Caenorhabditis elegans: one gene and its partners. The protein of the gene in region 4 interacts with the protein of the main gene of each other region in a pairwise test. Each region holds a gene or a part of one and is shown on either strand. Other genes may lie near its edges.

What was found.
Region 1: the proteins of shn-1 (region 4) and ztf-20 interact in a two-hybrid assay, tested with the Caenorhabditis elegans proteins (one large-scale study listed by BioGRID).
Region 2: the proteins of shn-1 (region 4) and haf-9 interact in a two-hybrid assay, tested with the Caenorhabditis elegans proteins (one large-scale study listed by BioGRID).
Region 3: the proteins of shn-1 (region 4) and lir-1 interact in a two-hybrid assay, tested with the Caenorhabditis elegans proteins (one large-scale study listed by BioGRID).

Annotation. Positions count from the first base shown.
Region 1 is NC_003283.11:18,957,027-18,962,122, forward strand, and holds ztf-20 (C2H2-type domain-containing protein), read right to left. Parts: upstream 3,147-5,096; coding exon 3,065-3,146; intron 3,022-3,064; coding exon 2,903-3,021; intron 2,819-2,902; coding exon 2,625-2,818; intron 2,564-2,624; coding exon 2,378-2,563; intron 1,621-2,377; coding exon 1,446-1,620; 3' UTR 541-1,445; downstream 1-540. Other genes in the region: hrg-10 (DUF833-domain-containing protein), read right to left, coding at 151-280; Y39B6A.43 (DUF4124 domain-containing protein), read right to left, coding at 4,075-4,390, 4,525-4,722.
Region 2 is NC_003279.8:6,080,111-6,086,472, reverse strand, and holds haf-9 (ABC-type antigen peptide transporter), read right to left. Parts: upstream 4,662-6,362; 5' UTR 4,658-4,661; coding exon 4,553-4,657; intron 4,510-4,552; coding exon 4,432-4,509; intron 4,386-4,431; coding exon 4,291-4,385; intron 4,146-4,290; coding exon 3,772-4,145; intron 3,736-3,771; exon of another isoform or gene 3,668-3,735; intron 3,666-3,667; exon of another isoform or gene 3,534-3,665; intron 3,486-3,533; coding exon 3,368-3,485; intron 3,326-3,367; coding exon 3,195-3,325; intron 3,128-3,194; coding exon 3,049-3,127; intron 3,007-3,048; coding exon 2,880-3,006; intron 2,684-2,879; coding exon 2,568-2,683; intron 2,518-2,567; coding exon 2,436-2,517; intron 2,387-2,435; coding exon 2,258-2,386; intron 2,212-2,257; coding exon 1,880-2,211; intron 1,709-1,879; coding exon 1,485-1,708; coding exon of another isoform or gene 1,450-1,484; intron 1,434-1,449; coding exon 1,327-1,433; intron 1,283-1,326; coding exon 1,178-1,282; intron 887-1,177; coding exon 641-886; 3' UTR 516-640; downstream 1-515.
Region 3 is NC_003280.10:7,670,350-7,675,013, reverse strand, and holds the start of lir-1 (LIn-26 Related), read right to left. Parts: upstream 3,010-4,664; 5' UTR 2,972-3,009; coding exon 2,906-2,971; intron 151-2,905; exon of another isoform or gene 15-150; intron 1-14. Other genes in the region: lir-2 (C2H2-type domain-containing protein), read right to left, coding at 3,220-3,304, 3,884-4,303, 4,355-4,535.
Region 4 is NC_003280.10:11,384,857-11,392,895, reverse strand, and holds the start of shn-1 (Protein shank), read left to right. Parts: upstream 1-2,031; 5' UTR 2,032-2,111; coding exon 2,112-2,171; intron 2,172-2,278; coding exon 2,279-2,548; intron 2,549-2,807; coding exon 2,808-2,909; intron 2,910-2,979; coding exon 2,980-3,568; intron 3,569-3,614; coding exon 3,615-3,956; intron 3,957-4,013; coding exon 4,014-4,286; intron 4,287-4,543; coding exon 4,544-4,633; intron 4,634-4,793; coding exon 4,794-5,116; intron 5,117-5,158; exon of another isoform or gene 5,159-5,179; intron 5,180-5,353; coding exon 5,354-6,195; intron 6,196-6,679; coding exon 6,680-6,827; intron 6,828-6,964; coding exon 6,965-7,118; intron 7,119-7,741; coding exon 7,742-7,971; 3' UTR 7,972-8,039. UniProt on the Caenorhabditis elegans protein: Scaffold protein that most likely acts in the postsynaptic density (PSD) of excitatory synapses which orchestrates synapse formation and maintenance at neuromuscular junctions.

The DNA of each region.
Region 1 (5,096 bases), on a different chromosome or scaffold from region 4:
AATTTTCTGAAAAAAAAATTTTTTTTTCTAAATTTTAAAATTTTCTAATTTTTTTAAAACCTTCACATAGGTTTTCAAATATGCGGAATTCGATTTCTTTATTTCAATTTTTCCAATTTTTCCCTGTAAAGTGATAATTTCCAGCCTTACCACTCAGCATCCCATCGTGCCAGTGAATGGGAGTAGTCGGCCGGTCCAAATCCTCATCTCTATTGTTCAGAATAATTAATTTGTATTTTTCACTGGGTGAAGTAGCAATTTTAATAAATCCAATGCACATTTTGGAAAACTCTGGAAAAAATCCGAAAATGAATTTTTAATTGAATTTTTTGAATTTTTTGAATTTTTGGGTGAAAAGTGTTGGAAATTTGCAAATTTTGAACAAAAATGAGAAGTAGTTTGAAGAAATGAAAAATTCCAAAAGAAAATTTCCAAAAAAAAAAATTTCAAAAAAAATTTTTTTTCAAATTTTTTCAACATTGAATATTATCAGTGCTACAATACACATATGACCACAATATAGGCTTCAGTGCAAAAGTTTTTGCAGAAAAAAAGTTTATTCCCGGGGAAAATAACATACAAAGTACACACAGAAACGCGGGAAAAAATGATGACATTTTCTTTATCACAAAAAAATATCAGATAAGAGAACAATAATCAGAGATCATAAAACAATATATACACTGGAACAATACAAAAAAGAAAAGATAAATAATTTTTTTCCAAATTTTTTTATTTTTGAAAATTCCATAAATTTCATATTAAATTCAATTTTTCCTTTAAATTCTGAGCCTTTTACATTTTTTCTGGAGCTTCTAGCCCAAAATCTAGAAATTTGGGTTACTGTAGTTTTGGAAGTACGCAAACACCGGATTCTACGGAATTTTGCACAAAAACGCTGAAAAGAATGATATAGATGTGAAATTCGTCGGAGAGCTCGAATTTCACACTGAAAAAATGTTTAAAACTTCGGAAAATGCTGAAATTTCAGATTTTTGGATTTATATTGATTTTCGACACTAAAAATTGAGAATTCTCATGTTTTAATGTGCAAAATTCGAATTTCCCGTCGAATTCTGAGTGAGAATCGTTTTTCCCGGTATTCTAGCGCTGAATTTGAACATTTTCGGGTACTTCACACTGCAAAGGTTGAAAAAATCTCAAAAAATGCTGAAATTTCAAGCATTTAGAATTTTATGGTATTTTCCGCAGTTAACATTTGGTATTTGTATACTTTACTGAAAAATTCGAAATTTTTATCGAATTCTGAGCTAATCCGTCTATTTATAGGCTTCTAGAGTTAAATTTGAGAAATTTTGGGTACTGTAGCGCCGAAAGCACGCAAACACCGACTACCGTACTCAAAACACCGGACTTGACGGAATTTTGCACTAAAACTCTGCAAAGTTGCTACCCGAGGTAAAAGGTGATGAAAAACTAGAATTTTACAATAAAATCTCATCAGAAATTGCAGAAAATTTCGAATGATTTCTCTGACAATGTCGTTTCAAGTTCTTTTCACTATCACTGCTATATTCGCATTTCTCGCATCGAATTGATCCTCCTTTAATATTCATTCCACGTTGAAAATGTGTCTGATGATTTGTTTGTTTTCCATGTCTGAAAATATTTAAAAATTTAAGAAAAATCGTGAAAATCTGTAAATTTTAGAGAAAAATCGATTAAAAATCTGCAAAAATCAATAGAAACTGTTTTTGGTAACTACTAATTTTTTGGGCGCTGCTAATTTTTTGGGCGCTGCTAATATTTTAGGCGCTGCTAATTTTTTGGTCGCTGTTAATTTTTGGGCGCTGCTAATTTTTTAGGCGCTGCTAATTTTTTGGCGCTGCTAATTTTTTAAGCGCTGCTAATTTTTTGGGCGCTGCTAATTTTTTGGCGCTGCTAATTTTTTGGTCGCTGCTAATTTTTGGTCGCTGCTAATTTTTGGTCGCTGCTAATTTTTGGTCGCTGCTAATTTTTGGGCGCTGCTAATTTTTGGGCGCTGCTAATTTTTTGGCGCTGCTAATTTTTTGGGCGCTGCTAATTTTTGGTCACTGCTAATTTTTGGTCGCTGCTAATTTTTGGGCGCTGCTAATTTTTGGGCTCTGCTAATTTTTTAGGCACTGCTAATTTTTGAGCGCTGCTAATTTTTTGGGCACTGCTAATTTTTTAGCCGCTGCTAATTTTTGGGCGCTGCTAATTTTTTGGTCGCTGCTAATTTTTGGTCGCTGCTAATTTTTTGGGCGCTGCTAATATTTTAGGCGCTGCTAATTTTTTGAGCGCTGCTAATTTTTGGGCGCTGCTAATTTTTTGGTCGCTGCTAATTTTCTGGGCGCTGCTAATTTTTGGGCGCTGCTAATTTTTTGGGCGTTCTCACCTGTAAAGTGCTTTTCGATTAGGAAAACTCCCCGAACATTCCGCACAAATCGATTTTTCCCCGCAGATTTTTATCGATTTTTTCGGAATTTCCGGTGGTTTTTCTGGCGGTTCGGCGGGAATTTGAATTTTTCGCTCAATTTTTCGGCGAGGAGGTCGTGTCGCGTGTTCGGCGGTTTTTCCGTGTCTGAGAAAATATTTTTTTAAAGAAAATTTCTGTTTTTTTTTTAAATTAAAATATAATATACCTGTAAAGCCCTTTCCGATTGTTAAATGCATCTCCACACGTAAAACAGTACAATTCTCTAGGTTGTGACGTGACGAACGACGATGACGTAGTAGTGTCTAATGCCACGTCATCATAGTAGATGAAATCCTGCGATGACGTAGACGGCTCCAGGTGACCGAGAAAATCAGCGGCGGATGGATCCAAGAAATCTTCCTGAAATGATGAGAAATTGCAGCGCCCAAAAAATTAGCAGCGACCAAAATTCCAAATTTCCCAAACTTTTCCCTAATTACGTACCACCATATGTTTTCCCATATCCACTAGACATTCTTCCTGTGTATTTTGGAAGTTATCCTCAATAAATATCACACTTTGTGTCATTTCTTCAACTGCTGCGTCCATACGTTCTGGAAGTACTTTTTTCAAAAAATTAAAAAAATTTTGCTCGTCTCTACAAACCTATTGCTTCTGAAAGATGAACGTCTGGTAGTTGTGAAAATTCGTGTTTGAGTTGCTCTAGGTGTTCTAAGAAGCTTTCCATCTGAAAATTAGTTGATCGTGGCGGGACCCCCCAGAAATTCGAATATTTTCTGAAATTTTCAAACTTAGTCATGATTATACTTTTTCAAACCGCAGTGGTCTTCTGATTCCAAAAATTTACAGAAAATGGGTCTCACCACGAAAACCAGAAGTTTTCATGGCCGGACCCAAAAATTCAAACTTTTCAAACCTAGTCATGATTATACTTATTTAAACCGTCATTTTATACTAATTTCTAATAATGTCAAATGAAATCGATTGCTCGAAAATTCACACTTTTCGTGGCGAGACCCAAAAACTCGAAAAAATAAATAAATTCGGAGTCTAGTAATGATTATACTTATTAGAACCGCCATTTTATGCTGATTTCAAAACTATAAAATTTCAGGAATTTCGATCGAAAATCACCGAGTTATCCTAGTTTTTCTGATTTTCGCGGCGGGACCCAAAAATTTAAAATTTTTAAATAGTCGTGATTATACTCATTCAAACCGCGCATTTCATGTCAATTTGAAAACTATTATGAACTAGAAATTTCGATCGAAATTTGCCGAGTTCCGCTAGTTTTTTGGTTTTCGTGGCAGGACCCAAAACTCAAAAAAAAATTAATGAATTCGAAACCTAGTCATGATTATACTTATTCGAACCGCTGTGATCTCCTGATTTCAAAAACATACAAGAAAACCAGCGGGTTACTGTAGATTTCATGGCAAGGCTCAACTTTTACAATTGTCGTTAAGTTATAATGGAAATTCGAAACCATATTGTGTAAAAGTGACTCAAAATTGAAAAAAAAAAACAATTATTTATTTATTTTGAAAATTAAAAAAATTCAAACAAAAATCCAAAAAAAAAAATTTTGAAATTTTTTATTTCAAAATTTAAATTTTTCGCATTTTCAAAAACTAAAAAAAATTTAAAAAATCATTTCAATATTCCATCGTATCCTGCACAATAACTTCTTCTTCTTCAATAATTTGTTCATGATCCCACACTTCTTCTTCTTGTTCCTGATGTACAATATGGTGGTGGTGCTCCACACCGAATCTCTGCTCCATTCTAGCCAAAAGCCCGTCGGCCCGGTCTAAAACCGCCGAAAATCTGTCCTGATTTTGCATTTCTCGTCGAATAAGCTGTAATTTCAGCTCGTGAAGGTTTTCAGCCGATGTTGATGACGTGGATTGTTGGGGTTCCGGTGGGAAGGTGACACGTTTTAGTAGCGGTGGTGGTGATGGGGCAAGGTTTCTGGAAAAAAAACTTTTGTTAAAAAACATTAAATATGATATTTCTTATTGAAAAATAGAAAATAGAAATTTGAGATTTTCAAAAAAAAAAAATTTTTTTTTCAAAATTTTTATATTTAATTTCGAATTCCGTACTTCTGCAAATTTTCTACCACAGGATCCATAGAACCAGTAGCCTCCACAAATTCTTGTTCCTCATCAGCAATTTGTTGATATCTCGAGTACTCCTTAGACTCTGTTCGTACTCCATTTTGCTTGAAAGCTGGCTCAAATTGAATTGGTTCACCTTTCCAGTAGTATACAATTACAGCGTACTCAGGGGATCCCGGGAAACTGCAAAAAATTCGGTTTTTGAAGGTGGAAAGCTCAAGAAAATTGGTTTTGTTTAAATTCTACATTCTCTTTAAAAAAATACAATAGCTTTGTTCAATTTTTCATCTGAATCCCTATATTTTACAGTATTTCTGAATAGATATATCGAATTAAAACTCAAAACCACAATAGTTTTGCTCGAAGTGATTCAAATATTGTATATATTTTGTTTCGAACGCGCAAAATCGAGTGTATTTATTTTCAGTGAAAAAGTTTTCTTTCAATCGTGTTGGTTTTTAAATATTACATATTCTCAATTGAAATTGTTGCGAAATAGCGTCATTACATAATTTAAATATTTGTTCCCCAGAGTAATATATTCCGGACCAATAGAT
Region 2 (6,362 bases), on a different chromosome or scaffold from region 4:
GAAAATTAGTCTTGCATTCAAGACTAATAGAGGAAATACGGTAATTGGGTACGATAGGAATACGGTAGGTTTATACGTTATGTAAGTTTCTACAAATGTAACTACTTCAGTTTCTCTGTACCAAACTTTGAAGAATTTTTTATTACTTTAAAGATAACTGAAATAGTGAGCCGTTGTCTACGAGATCAAATATGTCCGAAAATTACCATTTGGTATCAGTCCGAACAAATCGGTATTTATATTACCAAAGTTGTTTCTTCGTCAATATTTTGAATTTAATTTAAAAACACATATATTATTCAATTTTCAATCTCACGTGAGAGAGTGTGAGAGAAAAAGAGGAATTTTGAAATAAATGAAATTGAGAGAGGCCGTGTAGACTGAAGGTATTTTTGCAACCATGATTGTTTCAATTTCGTTTCAAACATGTTATCTCTACCGTATCCCGATTCTCAGATCAGAACAATTTCAATTTCCTCTTCCTTCTTCTAGGCTAGAAAAATATATAGACATTTCAAAAAACCTTTCATAGATAACAACATGAGCAAAAAAAAGTGTAATTCAGATTTAAGAACACTACTCAACAGATTTAAAATAGATCAAGAAACATTTCAATAAAATCGCGAGCTAGAAATAAGATTTACAAATAGCTGCTTGCAAATGAGGTACCCAAAAATGACTGGCTAACAGACTGTGATGGACTTCTAATTCTACGTGCTCCGGCTCTAGTGCTACGGCCTGAACCTCCTTCGCGGGCTGGTTCGGGCTCCTCAATTTCGTCATCAAGACCATCCTCTCCGCTCATCATTTGTCGTTGGACCAATTGTTTGTAGAGTCCTTCTTGTTCCATTAGGGTCTTGTGATTTCCAAGTTGTTCAACTTTTCCCTGAAAGTTTTGGGCATTAGTTATATTTCTTATACAAAAGCTGAAAATGGCTTGAACCTGGGAAACAGTGATGCGATGCGAGTTTTTAGGATTTTCCCATATTTTCTTATTGCTCTTTTTTGGTAAAATTACGAGGAGATGTGAAAATATATCCCTATCGTATATTAAGTGAATTCGATAATTTTTCAAAAACGAACATCTTTGACCTAACTCATGGATTTCTTGAATTTTTCAAAATTCTCTTTTTTGTAAGTGTTTACTTTCCAAAAACTGTAGATATTCAAAACTAACTTTGTTAATCACAACAATCTTATCTGCATTCTCGACAGTAGATAGTCTATGTGCAATTAGGATAACAGTTTTTCCTTTCAAGTTTTTTGAAATTGCTTCTTGGACCTGAAAAGATGTAGTTTTCGTATGAATGGATCGAAAAAACTAACAGTATGTTCTGATTCAGCGTCCAAAGCAGATGTAGCTTCATCGAGAAGAAGTACAACTGGTTGACGGACAAGGGCACGGGCAATTGCGATTCTTTGCTTTTGACCTCCTGCAAATACTTGCTTTCAAAGTTTAAATTTCAAAGAATTAGAATACACACCTGACATTTGGCTTCCTTTTTCTCCAACATTTGTATTATATCCATCAGTGGTGTCATTCATGATAAAAGTATGAGCATTTGCGAGTTTCGCTGAATTTTGTACCATATCATCATCGTATTTGTCTAATCCATAGCCGATGTTTTCCGTGACCGAACGAGCGTATAGTACGGGCTCCTGTCCCACAAGTGCTACCTTGGTGTGCAAGAATTTATGATCGTATTCTCTGGAAAATTGATTGACCATAGAACAAAAACTAAAGCTGGGCCATTGTCATAAGTGGCTCAAAGGTTGCTCAATCATCAAATCTTTTGAGATTCCCAACGAGAACTATATGGCAAACTCAAAGGACTTCAGAAATTTTTTCAAAAACTTGTGTGGTTTTTTGTGCTCTCACCTAACCGGAACTCCGTCAATTAGAACTTCTCCACTTGTTGGCTCATAGAAATGTTCTAGCATTGCAATACATGATGACTTTCCACCACCAGATGGCCCAACGAGTGCAACAACCTCTCCAGGTTCGACAGTAAATGTCAAATCCTCCATAATTGGCAGATCTGGCCGAATTGGATAACTGAACGCCACGTGACGGAATTCAATTTTTCCTGTCATACCGTCAGGTGCATAGGTTCCAGTGTTTTCGACACGTGGTGGACGATCAATGAACTCAAATACTTTTCTAGATGCTCCGACGGCTTGCATAAGTCCGTTCCAAACTTCTCCCAGTTCCTGGAATTTGGTAATTTATAACTGGATTTCCTGGTGATAAACTTACTCTCAAATTCTCCCCGAGCTGGAATTGATACAGAAGAAACGAGACCAATAGTCCTGATTCTACTTTATTCTCAATTACCAAATGTCCTCCATACCACAAGACAATAGTGAGGATTCCCATTTGAAGAAGCTGGAAATATTTGTTTGGGTTACTGTACCATAACTACAATAACACTAACCTCATTTGACCAAATCAAGCCGATAACGACGAAGACTTTGCGAGTAGCAATTTTGAGAGTTACGTTGAGGAAAGTCATGAATCTAAACATTTTGGAATTCAAGAAAAATATTGTTACTTGAAAAAATGTCACCTGCTAGATTCATAATTCTCACATGCGAACGATTTGACAGTTCTAATCGAGGAAAGTACTTCCTCTGCCACGTCATTGGCCTTTGCCACAGAGTTTTGAGTTTCTTCGGAGAGCATCTGAAAATATTTTTTGTTTGCTTTGAAAAACCTAAAATATTTCAACATGCTTGACATGAATATATTCAGTATTTTTGACCAGCGTTCAGTATATTTATACAAAATCCCCCAATACCTATACTCCAAAAATCTTAAAATTTGACTTAGATTAACTTAGATATTGCTTGATTTTTCTTCCAACTAGTTCCCAACTTACATCATACCAAACTCCGAAAATTTTATTGACGAGGAAAATGATCGGAATATTGATCAAAGTGATCATTGAGAGCTTCCAAGACAGTGTGAACATGAAGATTAAAGACCCGAAGAGCATTGTCAAGTTTCTTTAAAAATTTTAATTTTCAAGTTTATCTTCGATATCTCACCTGGTAAGAACATTCATGTAGAGGGACAAAGTGTTCGACATTGTTTGACAATCAGCTGACAGTCGAGAGCAAATCTCTCCTGAAAGAAGTTACATTTCTTACAGAAAACCATTATTTTGCTATTCTCCTCCACATTAAGTACGAACCAGTTTTATTCATATCAAAGAACCCAATCTCTTGCTTCACAACAGAACGGAATAGGTCATTTCGAATCTGTCGATCGATTGTAGCGTGTGCATAGGTGAATGATCCTCCACGAAGACCACCAAATACAGTTCTGAACATTTTTTTTCCAAAAGGATATTATTGTACAACTTACGAAGCCAATGAGAGCATTCCCATTATGAAAACGGTTTTGTGAAGCTTCTCATATGAAGCTTTATCACCGAATACTGCTGTTACTACTTCTCCAGTGTAATATGGAATGAACACTCGACCTGTATAATAATTGACCAATTACGAGTTTTATCAATTGATTTTTTCTTTCTTTAAACTTCACTAACAACTCTCCTTCTTTCTCGCAAATAAAAGCGCCCTTCTCGCTTGTCTCGACTTGTTTCACTCGCGGCCTAGTGGTTAACGCGGCCGGCTGCCGCTCGCCGCTCCCGAGTTCAACTCCACGCCACGTGATTTAGGTTTATTTGCTACTCTTGATTAACTCTCATGATGACAAGAAAGTATGATGGCTTTTAAAACTTTTTAATTTTTGAATAGAGAACTTACTAAGGGAGTAGCAGAAAAGGAAGAAGAATGCCATTCCATAGTATTTCCACTGCCTTCCCATGTAGCCCAAAAGTCTGAACAACAATTGGAAGGTTTCTCTTTGCTCTGCAGCTTTTTCAGCTTCCTCCTGACGGAGTCTCTCCTCGTGTTCAGCATCTCCAAAAAGAAGAGAATCTCCTGTTCCTGCTGCAACTTCTGTTACATGAGCAAGCACAGAAGTCCAGATTCCTTGAAGAAGAAGTGAAGCGAAAATACACCAAATCATAAGAATCCAATCACCAACTGCCAACCGGATATTGTCATCTTCATAGAATGCTAGAAGTTTCGATGGAGCAAATGCAACAATCAAGAGCATCATTGCAAAAACTACGTTCCTGGAAATTATCATGTTAACAAAAAGTTTCAATGATTTGTTATTCGGGAATTTGGAATGCGCCTTCAAACGACGAGTACTGTAACAAATTTGATTTTCTTTGAATTGATTTTTCCCACTTGAAGTTCTCAAAATTGGCAACTTACTTGACATTTTCGGCGACTTGTGAGAATCCGGAAGGTGAAGCCCATGCTGAAACTGCTCCGCCGAGCAAAATACTGTCACGAATCAACGCAACCGCCTAAAATACTCAATTTATGGTGGTTGAACAAAATTTTCTGATCTACCAAAAAATCTACTGGATTTTTCAAAAAACTATAGTTGGCCAAATCAAACCAGTGAGCGATATTGTCGAACGTGAAGTACTGAAAAGAGATTTTGGTTCGAATTTTGAACATATTTTCATACTTTTCCATTCCAAGCAAGTCCGAATACATTGACCAGAAGATCGAGGCCAATGAACGCCAGGCATATGAAAAGGGCCTGGCCACCCGTGTAAAGAGAAGAACTCATTCTTCTGAAAATCTCGAATTTCTCAAAATTGCTTAAAAAAAGAAAAAAGTAACTAGAAATGTAACTTTTTGGAGTATCAAAAAACGAATTAGGAAAACCGAAAAATGGAAACTCTGTCCCACTCTTTATTGATAACCGTGATTTGCTATCAGTGAATTTTAGGAGAATGGCAACTCTCCGCAGTGCTTTCTTCAATTTACTGGTGGACAATCAGGGAAGATAACGAATTATTCTTTCTCTTCGGCTCTCGTTCTCTCGTTTCAACTAAATAATCAGTGTGATTAGGCGCTGCGGGCGCTTGTCAACCATGTAACTGCCAATTTGATGCAAAATTGGATGCTCTGCGGGGGTGAATTGTTTTGCATGTGAATCTTTGTTTGTTTTCAGGATTTTTCAGAGTTTCAGACATGTCTGCAGACATAAAAAATCGACAATTTTAGCGCAGGATACGGTACACCACGTCGCGTCTGCAATTTTCCGTAGTTTCGTGTGTATTGTGTGCAGTAATATGTACTCCTCTCGGATAACTTCCACTTATTTATTTTTTTTCTTGATTTTCTTCCTTTTTCTCATGAAAAGTGTTTTTTTTTGTGTAAAATAATTTTAAAACATTGGTTTTCATAGAATTTGAGTTAGATTGCGCTATTCCAACGTAAAATGTGAACTCTTTTCGGTTTGTTTAGAAAAAATCAAGAAAACACCATATTTTCAAGCGTTGAAAGGTTAGATATTGAATTTTCAAACTCAACTGTCCCCAAGTTCTCACTTTTATTCCGATATCTGAATGCAACCTCTCCGATTACCTCAGTAAATACTCCTTAATCCTCCTACACCACGCGTTTCTCAATGCCATTTTGGTTTGGCCCCCTTTTTCGTAATTAGTAGTTTTTCCTTTCAACCCACATTTCACCTGAAAATCAGTTGTTTCCAACAAAAAATCGATGCATTTTCCAATTTGCATACACGCCAGTGTTTTTTGTTCAGTTTAAACGCGGACATCGAGAGTGAAGAAATGAATAATCTATTTAAATTGAAGAGACACAGAAGCTGATGGAAAGATTGAAATCGGAAATCGAGGTCGTCTTTCTAGATGACCGCAGGCTGAACTGGACGAACGAATGAACACAAGAAGTGTAGAGATTGTGTGGATGTGAAGAGGAATGAGAGAAAAATGGGAGAATTGGTTGTACATATAGTTATGTGTACGTGGACGACGACGTAGTTGTTGTTCGTTTCTCTTCAGTTTTCATAGTTTTCGCGTCCGAATTTTATCAGTTTTTGTTGCGTTTGGACATTCGGTCTTCCAGAACACTTTTTCGTCTTTTTTCTCTAGATTTTTCATCCGGATTTCCTTTTACAAGCTGCATACGCAAATTCTACATTTTGCAACCGACTAGCTGGTTCATAAATGCCAGCTGGCAAGATTATTCTTCACCCATCTGCCGGGTATGTTCTCTTGTGTATTCAGTTGGAAATTCAATCCAGAGTGCATTTTGATCCTCGATATACAATTATGTTTTATTTATGTCTAAAAGTTAAAAGTTCGAAGAATTAATTATTAAAATAAAAGTAAGAGATTTTTAAATTACTCTGAAGGACTTGAAAAGGCCCGAAAAGACCAAAGAAGACCTAAATAATTAATTTCCTCATTCATTTTCTTTGTTAACAAGTGAGAGTCAACAAAATAATTTTTCTACTAAACACT
Region 3 (4,664 bases), 3.7 Mb from region 4:
ACGATTTCATCTGAATTGGCTCCAATCGGGGTCGATTTATAGAGCGGAGAGGAGGTCGCACCATTTCATCAACTTCTTCCGTCGTCCAACCGTTCACAGAATTTAGGTCATCGCGAGCCGAAAGTGCGGGTGTACGTCTTTGCGGCCTCGACGGGTGACTTTACGGAGATATGCATTCGCTCCTTGGACATGAAGAAGGAGAAAGTCATGGATTGGAATAATATGCGCTACGGAGGAGTGAGAAAGATCACGGAGACGACTAATGCGCACTGTGCGCGAATGTTCCCATAATACCATAAACTCAGAGAGAAAAGACGACACGGATACTCTAACAGGATCTTCGGAACATTTAGTAATACGTTACTTTGAGTTAAAAAGAAAACGATAGCACATTTTTTAACTTTTCAAAAAAAACTCAAAACAACGAAAAAAATTCTACTCGAGTACTTTAACTGCTTAATTAGTCGATAATTTTTTGAAAACCATTCAAAAATTCTTCTAGATTTTGAGCAATACTTCCTACCATAAAATCTCAGAATGACGTATCCCAGGTCAAAACTTTAGAAGACCCTTTCACTCTCACTTCACATAATGCACAATTTGACCTTATTTCGGACACTCACTGGGCGAAATCGCGTGAGAATGAATTGGAGTCAAGAGCGTCTTGTAGAAGTGAACAAAGAATTAAGAAATAAGAAGGAGTTTCATTTTATAAGTACGGATAGTCAATGAGTGGAAGCAATGAGGACTCGTAAAGACGATTATTGTAATAAGGGGATAAAGAGTCTATACTATAGAAAAAAGAGAAGTCTGCAGACTTAAGGTTAAGTGTAGTGACGGAAAAGTGAAAAGTCGTATCAAAAAAGATGCACAATGATACCGTCAGACTGACGATGTGCTCGATTTTTATGGCTTCGGCTCCACCGGCAATATTTGCATACACCACACACACACACACACACACACACACACACACACACACACACACATTCTAAGCATTGTGCTGCGGTTTTATAATATCGGACACCTTACCACCCGCTTTCAAACCGGGATGCTTAGAAGGTGATAGAAGAAATGGTGTTAACAGCGCTCACACAGTTTTGTTGTTGGTTGCGCTCGCCGGGGCACACGACAACGGCGACAACGACGCGACGAGTACAGTTTTGTCAGTTGTGTGCATTGTGCATACAGGCGCTCAATACCCGGTATGGGAGAAAGAGAAAGGGATGGGAGAAGACGATGATGGAGAACAGGAGGTATGTACACTTCGGACGATGCTGAAAGTGAGGCAGGCGCCAACGCGTTCTATTATGAGCTCGTACAGGCAAAAATGTATTCGTAGAATAGAAGAAAAAGAAAGACATTGTGATGAAATATAGATTATTCAATTACAAGATTAGTTCGGACAGAAATACCAGAACTAAATGGAATTTTAATGTTTCAGGAAAATTATTGATTAATTTATATTTTTAGTTATTGTCGCTAATGATTTTAGAATTTAGATTTAAAAAATCTCGATAAATGAGCAAACCTGTCAAATGCGAAAATTAACCAATTTCCAGTATCAAATATAGAAATATTTCGAAAAAGGGTAGAGGATGATACTGAGAGAAAGAAAACGGACGGTTGCTCCGTGAACAGAAACATTCAAATCCTCCGTTCAACATATACTATCTCTCGTCGATGAAAGTAGCATCACCGTGTTGCTCGCATAAATGGAAAAGGGAACAGAGCGAACAAAAAATACGGACGCCGATGCAGCAGTTGGCTGCAGCTCTTGCTTCCTTTCTGCACATTTATGAGAGCGCCACGACGATTGATTTCATCGATCTCTTATGTACAGGAGAAGCACCGAAAAAAGGAGCTATATATGTCGAATTCGAAATGAGCATCGTGCGAAAGAAAGAGCTTGGAATTGAGAGATCATTGATAGAGTAGAGGTTTTAGGAGAAATATAAAAAAAATGTTTGCAGTGATGTTCAAGCTAGTCTATACTTCAAAAATCTGATTTCTAAGAGAATAGAAGTTATAGGTTATGTTGAATCCCTACATTTTAGGATCAAGGGTGTCGCTTTTTCGGTTTTTTTTGTTGGAAATTCAACAAATTTTGGTTTTTTGATTTTTCGAAATTTCTCAAAAATTGCTCGAAATTTCAGCGCCTGGGCTTTTTTTAGAAGGAAATTATATTTTCTTTTGTGTTTTATATTCAACAAAATTAAATTTTGATTTTTTTTTCGGAAAACCAAAAAAGTTCGTTTTTCGATTATCTCTCAAAAAAATTGGCATTTTTAGACAAAAAAACTAAAAAATTTATTTTTCGAAATTTATCAAAATTTAACAAAAATTGCTCAAAAAAAAGTTAGATTTTCGATTATTTCTCAAACAGAAAAATTGACATTTTTTAAAAGAAATCCTTGGTTAGCATCAGACCGCACTTTTTTTCGGATTTTGGAAGAGCGAAAAAACGGAAAAAATTTGTTTTCGATTTTCAGAAAAAAAGTTTTTATTGATTTTCAATTACACTTAAAAAATTGTAAAGTCCAAAAAAAATAATAAAATCTCGGTTACTTGTTTGAAAAAAAACTTTAATCAACTTAAATTTTGAATTCCGTATAAGAAAAGTGTTTTCAAATTTTTTTTCGATTTTTTCTTTAAAAAAAAAACGGAATTTTTCGTTTTTTTTTCAAAAGTGAATTTTTTTGGATTTTCTCAACAAAAAAAACCGACAATTTTTTCAGCGGCACCCTTGTTTAGGAAGTCGATTCGAATAATTAGGGGATACCAATGGTTAATATGGACCGAAAAAGGAATCAGAGGTACAATTGGAAGTTCTATGCAAAGTTTCAAACCAGAGAAAATGAGTAAATCAATATTTTAGATAATTTTTATAAATAAAAAAACTCACGCAATAACTGAGAAGATCGATCGTTGCTGCATCATCGTTCAGTTCGATGACCACAAATTTCGGCATCCCGGCCGGGTTCGAATCGTACGAAGACGACACCTATGTATATTATTTATATTATTAGGAATTACAAGAGCACGATAAAGATATTCAGAAATAGAAATAACTATTTAAATAAGAAAAAAGAAATTACCACAAATAATAAAAAGACCGACGATTTTATTGAAAATCGAGTAAGAACAAAATTTGCGTTGTAAAACTTAAAATTAAAAGAAAATATTATAAATATCAACGAAAAAAATTTAAAGAAACTATTAAATTTTTGCTTCTTTTCCATATTGATGATTCGGGAAACACTTTGCCATTGTATCCAGCCATTCTTTTCGTACTTCTGGTGTTCTGAAAAAAATTGACTTTGTAAGATTTTTTTATTTTGGAATGAAACGAATTAAATTCAGTTTTCAAATGGACATCGTCTGAATTGGATTTTATTCAAACATTTTTAATTTTTTTTAATGGAGCGATCTTGCGACAGAATTGAATTTAAAAAAAAAATTAAATATGCTCTTTTGAAACATTTTTAGTCTAAAATATGATCTAGAAAAAAAAATTTCTAAAATTTACATTTTATTCAAAATTTCAAATCTATTTTTGCGGGTTTATGCCAAAAATAAATTTTTGGCTTATCCTCACATTTGGATAAAATTACCATTTTAAATAGAATGGAAAAAAAAAATCTTGCGGTGCAGCTGCAACATTAGTAGCAATTTTCGTAATTTATAAAACAAATTGCGTACATTTTAAAATAATTATACAATTAAAACAGAAACCGGCTTTCATGCTTTTCGAGTGAGATTAGATAAAAAAAAATAATCTCAGTGAATTAGTGATTCAACTAAAAAAGAGCTGTCGCACAATTTTTAAAATCTTTAAAAAATAATTTTTTTAAAATTTTTTAAATTCAAAATAAAAACTCACATCATATTCACAGGTTCGTGTTCCGAATTGTGTTGTGATTGTCCGTGCTGCTTTACACGAACTTTTCGTACAGCTTGATATGGACATTGGGAACATTTGAATGGTTTATGAGTGGAGTGTTTCATCATTACGTGTTCAAAGAAATTCCATTTAGAACCACCAGAATTCAGGCGAATTCCAATTCCACAAATCTCACAAATCGCTGTGACTACATCTCCACAAACACTTCCAGAACTTCCACATGATTTCATTCGTTTTGGAGATGGGGAAACTTTTCCAAAAAGTGCCAAACCAGTCCGTATAGCTTCAGTTGCTAGTTGTTCTTCCAATTCAGCAGTTTGTTCATCAACTTCTTCACTAAATTCATCATCTTCGTCATTGCAAGGTTCCAGTTTAACTTCTACATCAACACGTTCCACTCTGAAATTGAAAAAAAATTATGAAATGAAAATTCTAATTTATTAATTCTACCTGCTCTTGATTGAATTCGTCATGTCCAATTGTGATACAGGGGAAACCGGCAATTCTTTGTTAGTTGGTGGAATTGGTGTTGACCAAAATGGTGTTCCATCTCGAGAAATCTCATCTGTTTCAGGTTCATGTTCATAGTTGGAATATTCTACCGTATCGAGTCTAGGCGCTCGAGGTATACCTGAAAAAACGGTTAAAATGTTTTATTTAATTTAAATAACAGCTGCAATTAAATTAATGTGATAATTTTCTGATGAGAAATAGGAAAATTGTTAGTTTCATCTCTCAATTTCCGTTTTTCGGTCATTTT
Region 4 (8,039 bases):
CGCACCTGTTCCCCACCTCATGAATCTCCCATTTTCCTCAAAAATTCGCTTCCTCTCAAAATGCCAAGATTCCTCAAAAAGACGGCCTTCAACTGTGTTCCGTTTCATTTCCTCCCCAAGGTTCATTGCCATCCTTCTTATCAGGTGTCAGATTTTTTCTGAATAGGGGGGAATCAAAAAGTAAATATTTGATTTGACACCACAAAATGACTAATATATTTTTTTACAATACCCATCCCTACCTCCCCCAGTTTCCTCCCTACTACCTTGATTCTGGAACTTTGTGTCCAAGGTCGTAAACTCCGGCGGAAACATGTCTCTGACTCAATTGTAAGAGTCAGCTTACAATAGTCACCTTCCTTTCATCCAGACGTCTCTCTTTCTCTCCCTAGATAATTCTTGTTCACTACCTTTAAGCCTACCTGCAATAAGCTGTACGGATCATCTACTTTGACTACCTTAATCTCCATATGTCTTATCATCTCGTTTATCACTTGAAATTGGAAACGAGATTTGTGTAGTTTTATCGCATTTTTCGAGGTGCTTTAAAACCATTTGGAGATGAAATTCAGAGAAAATTGTTCTAGTTTCTCCATTTAATTCGCGACTTGTTAACGAACAAATTGTTAAATTCATGTTTACGTAACTAAAAAGTTTTTTTTTAATTTTAAGAGACGACCGAGTTACAAGCTGTCAAAGTTGAGTACCATATTTTCTCATTCCACTTTTTTGTTCAACTTTAGCATCTTATATCTCAGTTGCCGTTTGTTTTAATCAAAAATTGTTAACTAACGAAATATTTGCAATTTTTTTTCTATCGTTTGTATTCGATAATTTATTGATATCATTAAAATACACCAAGATATAATTTTTTAAAGTTAAGTAATGTGGTGCAATTTCATATTTTTAATATGTACCCTTCTCCTATGTGTTTCAAACACCGCTTCAACATTCACATTGAACTTTCAGACACTTTGAGGACAATGTTACATTTTTTTCCTTTAACATACAAACTATTTGAGTACATACTTAATTACCTCTTTGTCACAGCTACGTCTTCATTCAATACTACTACTTCGTGCATTCACTGTTCGTTTTCTTACTTTTTGTCTCTCTCTCTCTCTCTCTCTCTCTCTCTCTCTCTCTCTCTCTGTCAGTTTTCCTCTTCTCCTCACAAGCTTCTTCTCCTCATCCTTCCAAGAAGTGAAGCCAGTTTCCGCCTCTCTTATAGACAGTTTGCGTCTCCACATCTTCAATGCTATCTCTCACATTATTCCGACAGTACGGAGAAAAGAGTCGCGCTCTCTCTCCTCTGTTCGCTTCCTCAATTCCATTACGAGTGTTCTTTTCGAATGGCAAAACCTATAAGTCTTTTGAGAATTCCATCATCTTTTCAAGTTTGCATAGTACTTGTGGATCTTGAATTTTAGATGCGGAAACATTGATAGATTCGAGTTTGAAAATGTTCTAAAACTTTATAGGTTTGATTATTAGACTTTTTAATTTCAATAAAGTGCAGATTTTAAAACTCGACGCTATTGTATTTGGCAACACTTTTTGTGACTTCTACGATTTCTTCGTTTTTCAAACAGACACGTAGGCGTATAGGAATATAGGCAAATAGGCAGGCACATAGGCATGTGTGAAGGCAGCCTGTTGCTGGCTTTTCGCCCACAATCGCCCGTCATCGCCCTAGCTCGAACTTTTAAACCAAGGCAACCAAGAACTAGAAATTTTACAAAAAAACCTATCTGTCAAAAAACCATTTACCTACCTATCTCTACCCAGAGTTTCCATCGTTTTTTTTGTCCCGACCAACCCGACCTTATGTTCAATTTTATTACCCATGATCAGCACCTCCTACATGCGCAAAATGTTGCCTGTCCCCCTTTGTGATCCATGTCCCACCAATTGACATCAATAGTAAATACATCAAAGTTATCGCCTTTCTTCTCTTCTTTTTTCTAATTTCTCTATTTCCTCTGCATTTCTTTCTGTTCGATTAGCTAATAGTGGTAACTTCATTCTAACAGTGTTGTACAAGTCCGGAGACATATTGATGCGCTAGTGTCATCATCGGAAGCAAAGGCGTCCGAGCGGAAGCATTCACGATGAATCAAGAGGAGGACACCGTTAATTTGCAGATCTTCGTTCCGGAGCTTAACGTTCGGGTGAGCAATTGCAAAATAAAATTGTGACTATTTGCAGAACTTACCATAGAATTTCAAAATGTTTTATCTAGGTGTTCCATAATCCTTCTACAATTTCTCAATTTCAGAAGTTCCTTGCGGTGACCCAAAACGATTTCATCTGGGATGTGAAACGCAAGTTATTGGCCACCCTTCCGCAAGCTCTTCCGCAAGCTTTCAACTACGGGCTCTTCCTTCCTCCATGCGATGGACGAGCCGGAAAGTTTCTTCTCGAGGATCGGACCATTCGTGACTATCCGTTCACTGATTGTGTTCCGTATCTCGAGTTGAAGTATAAGAAACGAGTCTATAAGATGCTCAATCTTGACGAGAAGCAGCTGAAGGCAATGCACACGAAGGTAGGGATTACTTCTCTTTCAACTTTCAATGCCAAAACCTCCCAGGTTCTAAATGTTCTAGTTCTAATCCCATCTTATTATTCAATTCCTTCCGATCCAACATGTTGATCGAAAACTGACAAAAACCTTGTATAATTACAAGGTGTTTTATGCGTCATATTCCATCAGATGCATATCTTTCCCCCTTTCTTCACAAACTAATAATATTTGTGTTCGCGCGCACCTCTCAATTCAGATACTTATCGTTCTCGTTTTGCAGGGCCAACTCAAAAAGTTTATGGACTACGTTCAGCAGAAGAATAACGAGAAAGTGGAAAAGATGTGTTCGCAGGGACTTGATGCAAATTTTCATGATGCTCAGGTGAGTTTTTGTGGATGTTTCTAGGATTGCCGGGCATCTTGAAATTATTTTAATTTTCACAAAATTTCAGGGAGAAACCCCATTAACGCTGGCTGCTGGAATCCCGAACAATCGAGCTGTAATTGTATCCCTTATTGGTGGCGGAGCACACGTGGATTTTCGCAATTCAGAAGGCCAAACTGCAATGCACAAAGCCGCATTTCTATCTTCCTTCGAGAATGTAAAAACCTTGATCGAACTTGGAGCAAGCCCAAACTATCGTGATCCAATTGGACTTACACCGCTCTACTATAATATGTTGACAGCAGATTCGAATGATCAAGTCGCTGAGATTCTTCTACGAGAAGCCGCCGACATCGGTGTGACCGATATGCACGGAAACCACGAGATTCATCAAGCATGCAAGAATGGGTTAACGAAACATGTGGAACACTTACTCTATTTCGGTGGTCAGATCGATGCTGAAAATGTAAATGGGAATAGTCCTCTTCATGTCTGTGCAGTGAACAATAGGCCAGAATGTGCAAGAGTACTGCTGTTTCGGGGAGCTGATCATCTAGCTGTGAACAAGCAAGGACAAACTGCGTTACATGTTTCGCATATTGTCGGAAATCCTGGTGTGGCTGATGTCGTTCAAGCACATAATCCTAAATCTTCAGGTAAGAGAGTCATTTTTTTAACTTCTCTGAAAAATCTAAATTCCAGTACCATATCGCGGCACTCCTCAATACTCAACTCGCCGACGCCTCAGCTCAACCATCACTCGCCGACGTTCGATGTCCCAATCCTCAATATGCAGCCAGGATGTCTACCGTACTCCCCAAAGTGTACGAAAAGGTCCAATGTCTGCAGCTCCATCGCCAAGCCCGTCTCGATCCTCCCGTACTACCATCACCCCATCAGAGTACGGTACGATGCGACGGTCTGGAATGGATTCGATGCGTGGTGGTGGAATGATTGCAGCTGGACACGAGACAAATATCGCTCGGATTCTGGTGATTCCACGTGGTGTCAAGGGATTCGGTTTCATTTTGAGAGGAGCTAAACGTAAATTCCTTTTTCTTATGTAACTGCTCAATAATTTTCTCATAGTTCTTGTTTCAGATGTCGCCATGCCATTGAACTTCGAGCCAACTGCTCAAGTGCCGGCTCTTCAATTTTTTGAAGGTGTCGACATGTCCGGAATGGCGGTTCGCGCGGGATTAAGGCCAGGAGATTACTTGCTGGAAATTGATGGAATCGATGTGCGAAGGTGTTCACACGATGAAGTCGTCGAATTCATTCAGCAAGCCGGTGACACGATTACACTGAAAGTGATAACAGTCGATGTAGCTGATATGAGTAGGGGAGGAACTATTGTGCATCGACCGCCAACAGGTAAAGAAAGTTGAATAGAGTGTTGTTGAGATTTGGGTTGAAAGAAGTTCATATTGGGAGTTAAGTATCTTGATGATCTTGATATTGCACAAACTCGGCTTGAAGTGTAAGCTTGAACTTATCATCCCAAATCTCAATGATAATTTCAACGTATCGTCGTTCATATTCGCACGCTTTTAGTTTTGTGTAGTCTTTGTTCAAGTACAAATTGTTTTCTAATCCGTGCACCGTCACCATTCACTCACATTCACTTCCAGCATCATCTCGTCACTCTTTGGTTTTTACACCCACGCCGTCAGCAATCTACTCGTCTACAAAAGCGTCCAGTGTTTATCGGATGAGATTTGGTTCGAATTTTTTTGTTTTATTTTTACTTTATTTTTCTAACTTTCTAATTCACTGTTCACGTTAATCTAGAATTTACATAGAGATCAGCTTTCTAATTATGTGTTATCTGTTCTATAGATTTGTTCTCGGTCTCGTGTAGCATAGTCATTTTATTTTCAGACACGCATGATGCGCATGGAGTTGATTACTATGCCCCAAATGAAATCAGGAACGCCTACTCGGAATCACGTCACGCGTCAGTCAGGCAAAGGCCGGGTAGCGGGAGGAGGATATCCGCAGCGGAATTGGAGAATTTGATGGTTCGACAGCGGGTACCGTCGGTGCAAGGTTCACCATATCAAATGCAATATGATCAGGAGTCGTTGAATGGGGGTTATTCGTCAAAGAAGTATAATTCGGTTTCTGACATGAAGAGGAGGAAAGGTCAACGGAATGTGGTGGCTTCATCTGCCGGATTGAATAGGTCGACTTTCGAGCAAGCGGTGAGTTTTAGAAAAATGTGGGAATCGGAATATTTATTTGCTCTAAATTACGGAGAAACTAGATTAAAGATGCCAAAATGCCAAAGTTAAAAAACATTTTGAAACAGAAAAAAATTTAAAAAATTAACCCGATTTTCTTAAATGTTTTCTTTTTTGTTTGTTAAATATCATGTCATTTGGAGCAATTCAGAGCAAAATTCCCAACAGCGAGCACACTGAGAAAGTAGAATTTTTCAGGCTCCCACAACTAGCACATTCGAGTACAACTGTAGCAGTCGAAGCACACCTCAACTATCTCGAATGGACTCATTTGATTCATTTGACGATGAAGATGAGATGCCAGCTCCACCACCGGCGTCGTATATCTCTCCGGATTTGCAGAGAGATTCTTCAATGCAGCGGAGTGAATATTCTAGGCCGTTCCGACCAACGTCAAGGCCGAAAACTCCACCACCTCCTCCACCGATGCAACATCAGAATCATCAGAACCACCAATATCAACAACAACATCCATCTCTTCCAAGATCAGCTTCAACACCTCAACCAATTCAGCAGCAGCAGTCATCGATTCCACCACCGCCTCCACCACCTCCTCCGCCACACTGCGAGCCAACGATGGTACATGTTGAGTTCACACCTCCATCAACATCTTCAGTACCTCCTCCACCTCCTCCATTGCCTCCAATCTCATCTGGAGCTCCGCCACCACCTCCACCACCTCCTCCGGGAGGTTTGATGCATGTGGCTGCGAGTGCTCCGGTTTTGATGAGCAATTCAAAAGGAATATCAGCAGATGCCTTGAAATCAGTTCAATTAAAAAAAGCAGAACCACGAGAAACATCGGCGGCTTCTGTCAGTAATAATAACAATAATAACAACAACTCCACGACAGATTTTCAAATGGATTTGAAGAATGCGTTGGCAAAGAGGCGGAGTAAAGTAGCTCACGATGTCGATGAGGATGAGGAGAGAGAAAGTCGATTCGAAGGATTATCACTTCGAGAAACTGTTCGGGAAAATGTTGTAGAACGTGGAAAAGGAATTCAGAACATTGGAATAGTTAATAAGAAGGACAGTGGGTAAGTGAGTTTATTTCATTTGAAAAATGCTCGTTGGTTGCATAATTATTGGTTGTGTCCGATTTTTGCTAATTGGCTATTTCTAACTGCTAATTTTTGGAACATTTAAAAAAGTCTGTCAGAATGTAGTTCAAAACATTCTGAGACTTTTGGCGTCTATTCGTGTCTCTTGCCTACTTTCATAGTACCTTTAACCATATTCCCACTATTTCACTTTGAACAGTTATATCTCAGTTCATTTAGAAGATATCATTAAATGTTCAACTATGAAACTATAGAAAAAGTATCAGAAAATATTTAGTCAGTTGACAATTTTTGTGTAGAACAACCGAAAACTGAGATATAAGCTGGTAAAGTTGAACAATCGAAGTACAATATTAATAGAGAAAACACGGTAACTGCTAACTGCTTTCTCGAACTTCCGTAGCTCAACATCTTCAATCTTGAAGCTTACATACAACTTAAATAAATCCTCTCTTTTCAGGTACACATCTTCTCGAACGTCACTGGAACCATCTGAATCGGAAGAAAAAGATCATCGACCCCATTTCTCACTTGATCACTCTCCAAATGTTCAAAGAGTGACACTGATCTCTCAGCATCTCGAGGATAATTACGGACAGAAGGACAATGTAAGACCCATTTTTCCCTGCACTGATTTCTCAATATAACATTTTTCTTAACCCCAAAAAAAAGATGGTGTGAAAGAATGTTTAATTTGTTCATGTGTGGTTTGTGCCCAATTTCTAACCTAAAACCTGCAATTCAGATGTCTGTTGCCTCGTCGTCAACTGCGTCATCATCATCAACAGTTGATCTAACGAAACCTGGATGCTTCGTGGTACCATCTCATGTCATTCCACCTGTCGATTATGATGATGATCCGGATTCTGGAACAGGCGATAGCGATGGAGAGATTCGCTGTAAGAGATTCTTCTTCCAACTTGTTTTTCATTTGACATCACCATTAGTTTTACTCTTTTTGCACACTCACTTAATTTATGTTCTCACAAATTTTGGAGATTAATTTATGAATCTAAGAGGAAAGGGGAGAATGAAATCTGTCTGGGGTCTAGTTTTGGTTAACATGGGGTTTTTGGAATGCTCTGGTTGTGTTCTCGGGATACATTTTTTTTAGCAAATTCTCAATTCAAATCATTATAAATGTTTAGAGCAGTTTTGAGAATTATCTAGTTTATTTGTTTACGCTTGTATTCTTGTAAAAATACTTGTAAACTTGTAAAAATATTTATACTATAATAGTATTTTTGTCAAAATATTTAGTTTTCTAAATATTAAAAAAACAATTTGATTTGGTTTTTTAATTTACTTAATTTCGTTTGTTCTGTTTCAGTGTAACTCTTCATTTTTGAATTGTTTGCTTCAGTTTATCTGTTAACATTTCTAGTTTGAAATATGTTTGAAGGAAACTTCTTTTTTGGATATTTTGTAAAAGAAAAAATTGTTAATTCAAATCATTATCTGTTAGATTTTGGGGCTCATTCCTTTAAGTTTCAACAAATTACCAAATTTCCTCTCTTTGCAGGTAGTGAAATATCATTCGAACACAAGAAGGTAGATGTCTGGTCGGTGGATGACGTCATCGGTTGGCTCTCATCACTACACCTCTCTGAATATACACCAGCATTTCGAAGTCAACGAATCAATGGCCGATGCCTTCGCCAGTGCGATCGGTCTCGATTTACACAGCTCGGTGTCACCCGAATTGCTCATCGCCAGATAATTGAATCAGCTCTCCGTGGCCTCCTCCAGTGATTTATGATTTTCCCCCCTCATTTCTACTTTCTCGATTTTCTCCCGCGTAGCTGGCTTTATATATTTGT